Linked DNA regions of Tribolium castaneum. The protein of the gene in region 1 purifies or fractionates together with the protein of each later gene. This does not show direct contact. Links are inferred from orthologs where the notes say so. Each region holds a gene or a part of one and is shown on either strand. Other genes may lie near its edges. The genes, in order: toll-interacting protein and CstF50.

Region 1 (3,704 bases):
ATTTAATCTTCGATATTTTAACCAAAGTTAAAACCGCCTCATTTGTAACTCTCGGAGAGGAGAAAAACGCGCGTCAGTTAGTTTTACGTTTTGTTGCAAATTTTGTTTCAACGATGGAAACAGACGAGGGAGATTATCAAATACTTCAATTATTTTCCGACCGTTGGCACGGCCTGTTTGGGGTTGGCGAAGCGATTCAAGAACACTTAAAAATCTCATTTGCGTTGTTTAATCTCGAGGCAAAGAAAGATTTAATCAAATTTAGCAACGCAGTTGCTGGACTTCTCAATACTTTGGTGCCAAAATACGGTATTGTTGTTGTAAACGTTTTTGCAAGCGAATTGAAAAATTCTTTGGCCTCGTTTTTGCGTTGTTACGGCGACTGGAATGAAGATTTTTACAAGTTTTGTTTGAATTTACTGGAAAATTGGAAAGACCTAACAATTTATTTATTGGTTATTAAACTTTTGCCCAGTAAAGAGCCGTCACAAGACCAAACCAAAGCCATGTTCAAGGAAATTGTTGATCGACTCAAGCAAGTTCCCGATGAATCTATTCAACTGTTAATGAATCTTTATATAACAAATATGGAGTAGAACTAAGAATTTATGCTTTTGATGGTATTTTGATAACATTGTTAGAGGATATTGAATAAAGTAACTAAATACAATTATTGTTGTTTATTCTGCGACAACAACGATTAAACATAACATGGTAGATAAAATATGAGTAACAATGAGTTGGAATTACGGAGGACTGAATCACTCAATTTTCTATACCAAATAAATAAAGTCGGTTTCGTATTAATTTAACTCAACCCCTTCCCAAAACTTTTAGCCCCCCGTAGTTGGAATTAACAATGGAAATGTTCAAGTAGAAATCGTTAAAAATTAAAATTGCACGATAAGCAAACCAAAAAGCATGGCTAAATTTTGGCACTTGATGAGTTAAAAAATGACAAAAAATGGAATTTTAAAAAGCTACGACTAGAATCCGCAACTAAAGTTTAATTATGGCGTAAATGAGATTACTGATTGATTTATTCAGCCATTTGAAGTAACGAATTAATGGTACCGTCTTTATTGCCCCTGTTGGCCTCAAACACGGTCTTAATCACCTCTTTATCGATATTTGGAAACATTTCCTCGATTTGTTTGAGCTCGGATTCACTCAAAGCAGGCGCGGCTTCAGTAGGAGGCGCTGTAAACACCTTCAAGGGTGTGACATTGCCCCCTGTTACGTTGGGCACCACCATAACAGGCGCCGGTGGTTGATATTTATATGAAGGGAACACTAGATAACTTAACACGAGATTAATCATTCCTTCGACACCTTCACCCTGTTTCCCATTTAATGGGTACCAATCCTCGTGGGTTTCCCCTGCAAGTACCTGTTGGGGGATCTGGAACTGCGTCCAGGCGATGAGTTCGTCCATCGTAAATGAGCGTTCGTCGAAAATTTCTAACGTTATGGTATTAATACCTTGAGGCAACAAACTGGAAATGGAAAAGTAGGGACTTGCTAGTTTTTGAGATGTGTTTACCAGTGAATAACTTTGTTCCATCGCGGGTTTTTGCCGCCGTTCGGGTCCGTATGCGTCTCGTAAACGCAATGCCCGACCCGAATCCGAGCGTAGGGGTCCATTCTGGTCATTCCGTAATTTTTTGCGAGCTTAGCTTGAGCAACAGTGATACTGAGCCTCCCAACGACATTTGTGTACTGTTGGCCACCGCTTAGCTGGTGGTGCAGTGCTATGGCTGTTTGGCGATCCGCTGCCTCTTGTTGTTGCTGAACCGAGGTGCTGATACGGAGAAAATCCTCCGGGAGGGGACCAAGGAGGACCTAAATTTCGGCATTAAAGCACGATTTTTTAAATCATTGGCACCTACCCGACTTCGCCTTTCTCTGACTTTGTCCGTTAGCGCCGATGCCATGGTGTTACACTATTTCAGATAAAGTAAAGACGCATTAATTCACTGTTTGCGGTGTTTGATGACAAATAATCAGCTGTTCACGGCAGACGTCAACACGCCTGACACTAGGGGAAAAAATATAATCCCAGTCTGGGATTAAATTTTATTAGTTTCTGGCGAAAATAGCCAGGTAGTTTTGGTTAAATGCAATCTACTAATAATTCTATTCAATTGATTAGTTTTCCAGACAACATTTTTGCATAATTTGGCTAAAATAAAATTTCATCTGAATGAAAGTGTTGCCATTAACTTGACGTAACATCCCTAAAAATTTGACAGGTATTTTCAATATGGCGGGGTTTGGTGCTTGTATTAAATTGTTTCATTAAAATTGTTTAATATTTTGACTAAACAATGGTTGTGTGTCCAGCTGATCATGGCTTACACGCCGATATCGTTTTTGTTATCGAGGGAACTGCAGTGAATGGTGCTTATATAAATGACCTAAAAACCAATTATATCATCCCTTCGTTAGAGTAAGTTTACTTTTTTTTGTAACTTCTGATGTATTACATGTTTTTCTCTACTACTGCTAAATTGTTTTTATTGCCTATTTGGCTTTACAGTCCTACTTGAAGTTATTTGATATTCTAGATATTCTTTACCTTTCCCAATTTTCTTTTGCACCCGTCACTTTTTTCATCCATTCTTTTCCCTTACCATTTTCGTTTAAAACTTTTTTTCGTATCAAACTTGCACACTCTTACCTCCACAAACTGTGACACTCTCCGCTTAATCTGCACACTGTTTCCCAATCTTCTCTCCAATATTCGTTCTCGCTTTCATTTCTACGTCTAAATCTGGCTATGATTTTCTTATCTTTACTTTACATCTTCCTTAAGTATGAGAGGAGTTCATCCGTCAATAAGCACGGCATATTTTACGTATTACACCTCGATTCTTTTTTCCATGTTATTCTTTCCTGCCTATCTATGTCCAAATCTCTCAATTTCAGTTCCTCTTCCATTGTTCGTCCCCTTTCTCTTATTCTTTTAATTTCTATACACACTTATTCCTTCTTCTCATAGGAGTCTTTTCGTCCTTTCCATCTAACATTTTCATTTGCTTTTTTGATTTCTGTTCAACACTGTTGCATTCACGCAGAATTCTTAATTTCTCTTCAAATCCCACCGCTCTCTTTCCTTAATCTACTCTTAATTTTTTTCTCTTCCTTTTTTTACTATGTACTCTGGCATTTGTTTATTTAGCCTGTTCGATCTCGTATTTCTTCCATCCCCACACTTCTGCTCAAAATAGTCCCTACATTACAGTGCTTTTCCCTAAGCTATTATTTTTCTCTTGAAATTTTCACTAAATTTACGTTCTCCCAAGCTTCAAACATTTCCTAAAACCCCATTTGTTTTTTTTTGCTGCTTCTTTTATATGGGCTGTGTCTGACATCTTGCTACTTATTACTCTCTTCTAACTGAAATAGTGAAGATTGACTAAAATAATACAGTACATATCTGATTCAGATACTTCAAGTCTTTCACTTGTTCTATATTTTTCCTTCCCATTGCCATTCATCCTCTTTTCCGAATTCCCATACTACTTTTCTTTCCAAATATCATCATTTTTGTTGTATCTACATCTACATTTCCAATCTTTTATTTCTCTGTTTTTTCTCGTGATGAATTCTGAACGGATAGTTGAACAAGGTTTGAGGTACTGAGAAATCAGTGTAACCTTGCTTTGTTATGATAAAAATTACACCCTGATACGAAAAAGTAG
Region 2 (3,997 bases), on another chromosome or scaffold:
TCGTCTCGGGGTTCAAAACAGGCGTAGCAGCCGGGAGATTGTCCACTAGTCTGGAAACACGTTTTAGGAACACAGTCATAGAAAAAATTAGTGCGGACGTACAAATGCACGAAGTACTCGTGTTGGATCCGATCCACCACAATCTGGGACTCCCCCACGCTCCAATTAATCGGATTTTTGGGGGTATTACACAACAGCGTACAGGGCGTATTCACTGCCATTTTCACGTCGTACGGCGTGTTGACAATCCTGTCACCCCTTAGTACTTCCCCGAGGTTCTCCGATTTGTAGTGTATCGCGTTTAGACCACCTTTAGGTAAACAAAACGGAAGAGAGTAATACTCGTACGGCAATTGCGTGTGGATACTCGTCATTTTCACAGCCTTGACTTCGATCGGATCACCGGCTTTGAAATCAGCCGGTGCCATCCCCGGAACATAAAACGAATAACATCTCGAAACACAGAAACTTATCACAAACAGAAAAAATTGCTAAAAAAGTAAGGTTAGGTCACGTCACTAAACTACCACCCAAATACCGTGCAATTCATTTTGGCGCCACGTAACCGGTGAAATGTGGTAATTCTCAACGTCTGAAATGCTAAAATAGTGTAATAATCATTGTTAATCAATTTAAAACCGTGCCATTAACGCCAATCAACCACCAAAAGTTGTGACAAACGTCAACTGCACAACTGGTTGCCCACACAAACAAAATCATCCTTTTTATCTCTTTATTAACACAAAAATTGCCGCAAATTGTTGTCTCACAACATGGAACGTAATGTTACGCGCAGCCTTAATTAGTTATAATTAAAAAATAAGATTAAAATAAAAAATGCCCGCGCATTATTGGTTGCCTATACAAGAAAGTAACACTTTTTATAATGTTGGGGTTCTTCTGTACCAAAACCTGGCCCGAAAATCGTCCGAGCAGGTCAGAAAGGCGGCCTGCGTGGGGCTGTGCGCTATGAGTCTAACCGCCCCATTGTGTCCCAAAGACATCAACTGCTTCCTTGAAGCATTCCTCGAATTCCAGGCACACAAAGACGTCGTTGCCTCGTCAGGAAACAGGACGTAATCCTCAGTGTGATTAAAAACAGCCTGAGCCTCATATTCCTGCTTTCCGGTCGTCCCAGCTCCCGTATAAGCAATCAAACACCGGCTTGTTGTCAGTTCCCACAATTTGCAAATTGAGTTTTTCCCCGACGATAACAAATATTTGCCGTTTTTCGAAAATACGACCGAACAGACTTCAAGTCCGTCGTGTGCTTTCTGAAACGTGTTTATGCAACGGTTCGAGACCGCGTCCCAAAGTTTAATATTGCCGTCTTTGCTACAAGTGGCAAAAACTCGCGCGTCTTGCGACCATTTGAGACAAGTGACGCTCTGGGTGTGTTGGTGGGAGGGGAAAGCACAGACGTAGCATTGGAGGGTATTGACGTCATACAGTCGGACGACGGGGTGGTTGGTGGCGACGATCATGTGGTCGCCCCCGGGGTGGAAAGACATGGCTCTGATTGGTTCCGACTCCTGGAAATATTTTATTTTTATTAAAAAAGGGTGCTTGATCCTGAATTTTTAACGTACAGATATTGTTTTAAACGCCTTCTTGACGCTGGCTTTCGAGATATCAAACATCTTAATCGTGTTGTCCTTCGACCCTGACACCAAAATGGGCTCCTTAGGGTGGAACTCCAGACAAGTGACCTCCTCCATGTGGTCATACAGCGTCCTAATGACAGGATGCCCCTGTTGTTCGCCCCTTGAGGGATCCATCTCGTCCGGCGCCGACTTGGCCAACATTCTATCAACATCCAGAATCTTAATACTAGCGTCCACACTCCCTGTTGCAATTAATTGCCCATCACTTGAAAAACACCCAGCACGACAATTCCCTTTATGTGACGTCACGTACGCAGTTTCATACAATGCGGGTTCGGGCGCTGGGATATTTGACTCAGTCTCAAATTCGAGATCAAGCCCCGGACCGATATTATTGTTCCCTATGCCGGGGTTTTGGGGTCTCTCCTTACGGTCAGGCTCATGTTCTAACCCGGCCATGACAATATGAAAAAGACGGTCACTGGGGGCACACGGAGGGTCCGCTTGGACTGCGGCCGTGAGATTAGTGCCGATGCTTTGGTGGCCGTCATAGAAGAGTTGGCTTGAAGGGAAAAATTTAGGTTAGGTTGCCGGTTTTGGGTGTTTTACCTAATAATGAGGCGGTAGAGGAACTCGCGACTCTTGAGGAGGTTCGTCGTGTCCACGTCTTCGTCCTTAATGCTTGAGTTAGTCATTTTATTGAGGTTTTTTAAATATTCCCTTTAACAACAAATGCGACCCAAACAAATCTAGAGGTTTCGGATTTGTTACATTGGTAGTTTGCTGTAGTAAAAAATTATTTTTTTTGACCAAAACTCGATAAAAAAATTAAATTCGAGTATTTGGAATGTAACGTATTACTATTTACCTTGATTTAGTTGCTTGGAAGGCAACAAATTATTTGTGAAAATTTCTTTAGGGATATTTTTTGCGTTGGCAAAAAGGAGGCAATTTAAAATTAGCCTTGAATTTTTTCAATGAAAGAAGGAACGTAAAAAAACTACGACTGAAATGCTGAATTCGAAACCTTTATTGAAAAACTCGATAGGCACAAAAATCGTTATTCAGTAAGAGCCATGGAATCGCCGTCTCCGGACCTCCTGCTGCCCAGGTCGTCCGTAGTTGAGGGTTCCGTTTCAGTGGAGATGTCCGGAGTCGAAGCCATGGCAGCTGAAACTTTTAAATTTAGATAAAATTTCCGTTTTTTGTCGTTTCTCACCTAAATCGCCCCCATCCATCAACAATCTGTTGAACTTGGCCCAATAATCGACTCTCAAAAAGTGCAAAATCTTCACAAACTCTTCGACTTGCAGTTCAGGGACCCTCACAATATCTCCGTAGATCAGGCGTACGACTTTTCTCATCACATCCTGGCTGAACTCTTCTAAAGTAATTTCCCTGATGGCTACCTGGTTCTCCAACAACTGGCGAAAATAGAGGCTTCGGGTCATTAAAATAAGTTTATGAACGCACACACTGCCGTGGGCGCAGAGAATCTCAAAATCGAACAATTCTCGACTGAGAGGATCGTCAAAATGGAAATTTTGGACTTGAGCACCGTCGGCGTAAAGACCTGCGTTCATCTTGACCGGCTTTGAAACACTGACGAGGTCGAGGAAGATAAAGTCGGAAAAAAAGTTTGAAAAAGTCAGGTGATAGCGTTTGCGGCGGCATGCGAACGTGCGAAAATGTCCGAATTCCATAATTCGATCGAAGAAGTGCAATTAAACGAGAAAAATGAAGAAAACAGCGATAAAAATGTGAGCCAGTTTGAGGGAAGCAAATTAGTGATTGATTTTTTAGGCCCTTTCGTGCGAATTATGTAATGTTAAAGTCACCAGTGTGAAGATCCTTCAGCGCCATTTGGAAGGGCGAAGGCACAAAATGAAGGAAGAGAGACAAGGAAAAACATTCGTTTGTGAATTGTGCGATGTCGTCGCAAACAGCGAAATTCAGCTAAACATCCACTTGAACAGTAAGTCAAATGTTGAGTTTCGAAATGATGAGAGACGTTACAGGCATCAAACACAAGAACAAGCTGATGAAAAAAGAAAACTTCATTTCGGACGCGACAGGAACCGCTGGCTTGTGGATCTTACTCTTCTGTGTCGTTTGTATTTTTATTAACTTATTGTTGTTGTTTAAAGTGATTTGCCAGTAATTTTGTTCATTGTTACCAAATTTCTATTACCATTAAATTGTTGAACGATTGAAACGACTTTTCTTAAACCCAAATATATATTTCAGTGAGTAATAGCAGTAATGTACAAATCAAGTGTTTTTATTTCTATAAAACCGAATCTATAGAAAGAAACACTAACCATAATCACAATCTAGCAGTCTCATGTGTCTAACTAAAACAGCCCTCGACCTCGCAATAAATAGCCTTAAGT

Evidence for each region.
Region 2: the proteins of toll-interacting protein (region 1) and CstF50 purify together in Homo sapiens (co-immunoprecipitation; 3 studies listed by BioGRID and IntAct, with this or other methods). This does not show direct contact. The link is inferred for Tribolium castaneum from reciprocal best matches to the Homo sapiens genes TOLLIP and CSTF1.

Annotation. Positions count from the first base shown.
Region 1 is NC_087402.1:9,089,097-9,092,800, forward strand, and holds toll-interacting protein, read right to left. Parts: upstream 2,048-3,704; 5' UTR 1,935-2,047; coding exon 1,890-1,934; intron 1,843-1,889; coding exon 1,544-1,842; intron 1,497-1,543; coding exon 1,040-1,496; 3' UTR 666-1,039; downstream 1-665. Other genes in the region: mediator of RNA polymerase II transcription subunit 25, read left to right, coding at 2,328-2,449. UniProt on the Homo sapiens protein: Component of the signaling pathway of IL-1 and Toll-like receptors. Inhibits cell activation by microbial products. Recruits IRAK1 to the IL-1 receptor complex. Inhibits IRAK1 phosphorylation and kinase activity.
Region 2 is NC_087398.1:3,468,407-3,472,403, reverse strand, and holds CstF50 (cleavage stimulation factor subunit 1), read right to left. Parts: upstream 2,426-3,997; 5' UTR 2,300-2,425; coding exon 2,214-2,299; intron 2,167-2,213; coding exon 1,590-2,166; intron 1,533-1,589; coding exon 882-1,532; 3' UTR 720-881; downstream 1-719. Other genes in the region: TM9SF4 (transmembrane 9 superfamily member 4), read right to left, coding at 1-50, 103-491, 539-550; zinc finger protein 346, read left to right, coding at 3,293-3,364, 3,408-3,579, 3,623-3,765. UniProt on the Homo sapiens protein: One of the multiple factors required for polyadenylation and 3'-end cleavage of mammalian pre-mRNAs. May be responsible for the interaction of CSTF with other factors to form a stable complex on the pre-mRNA.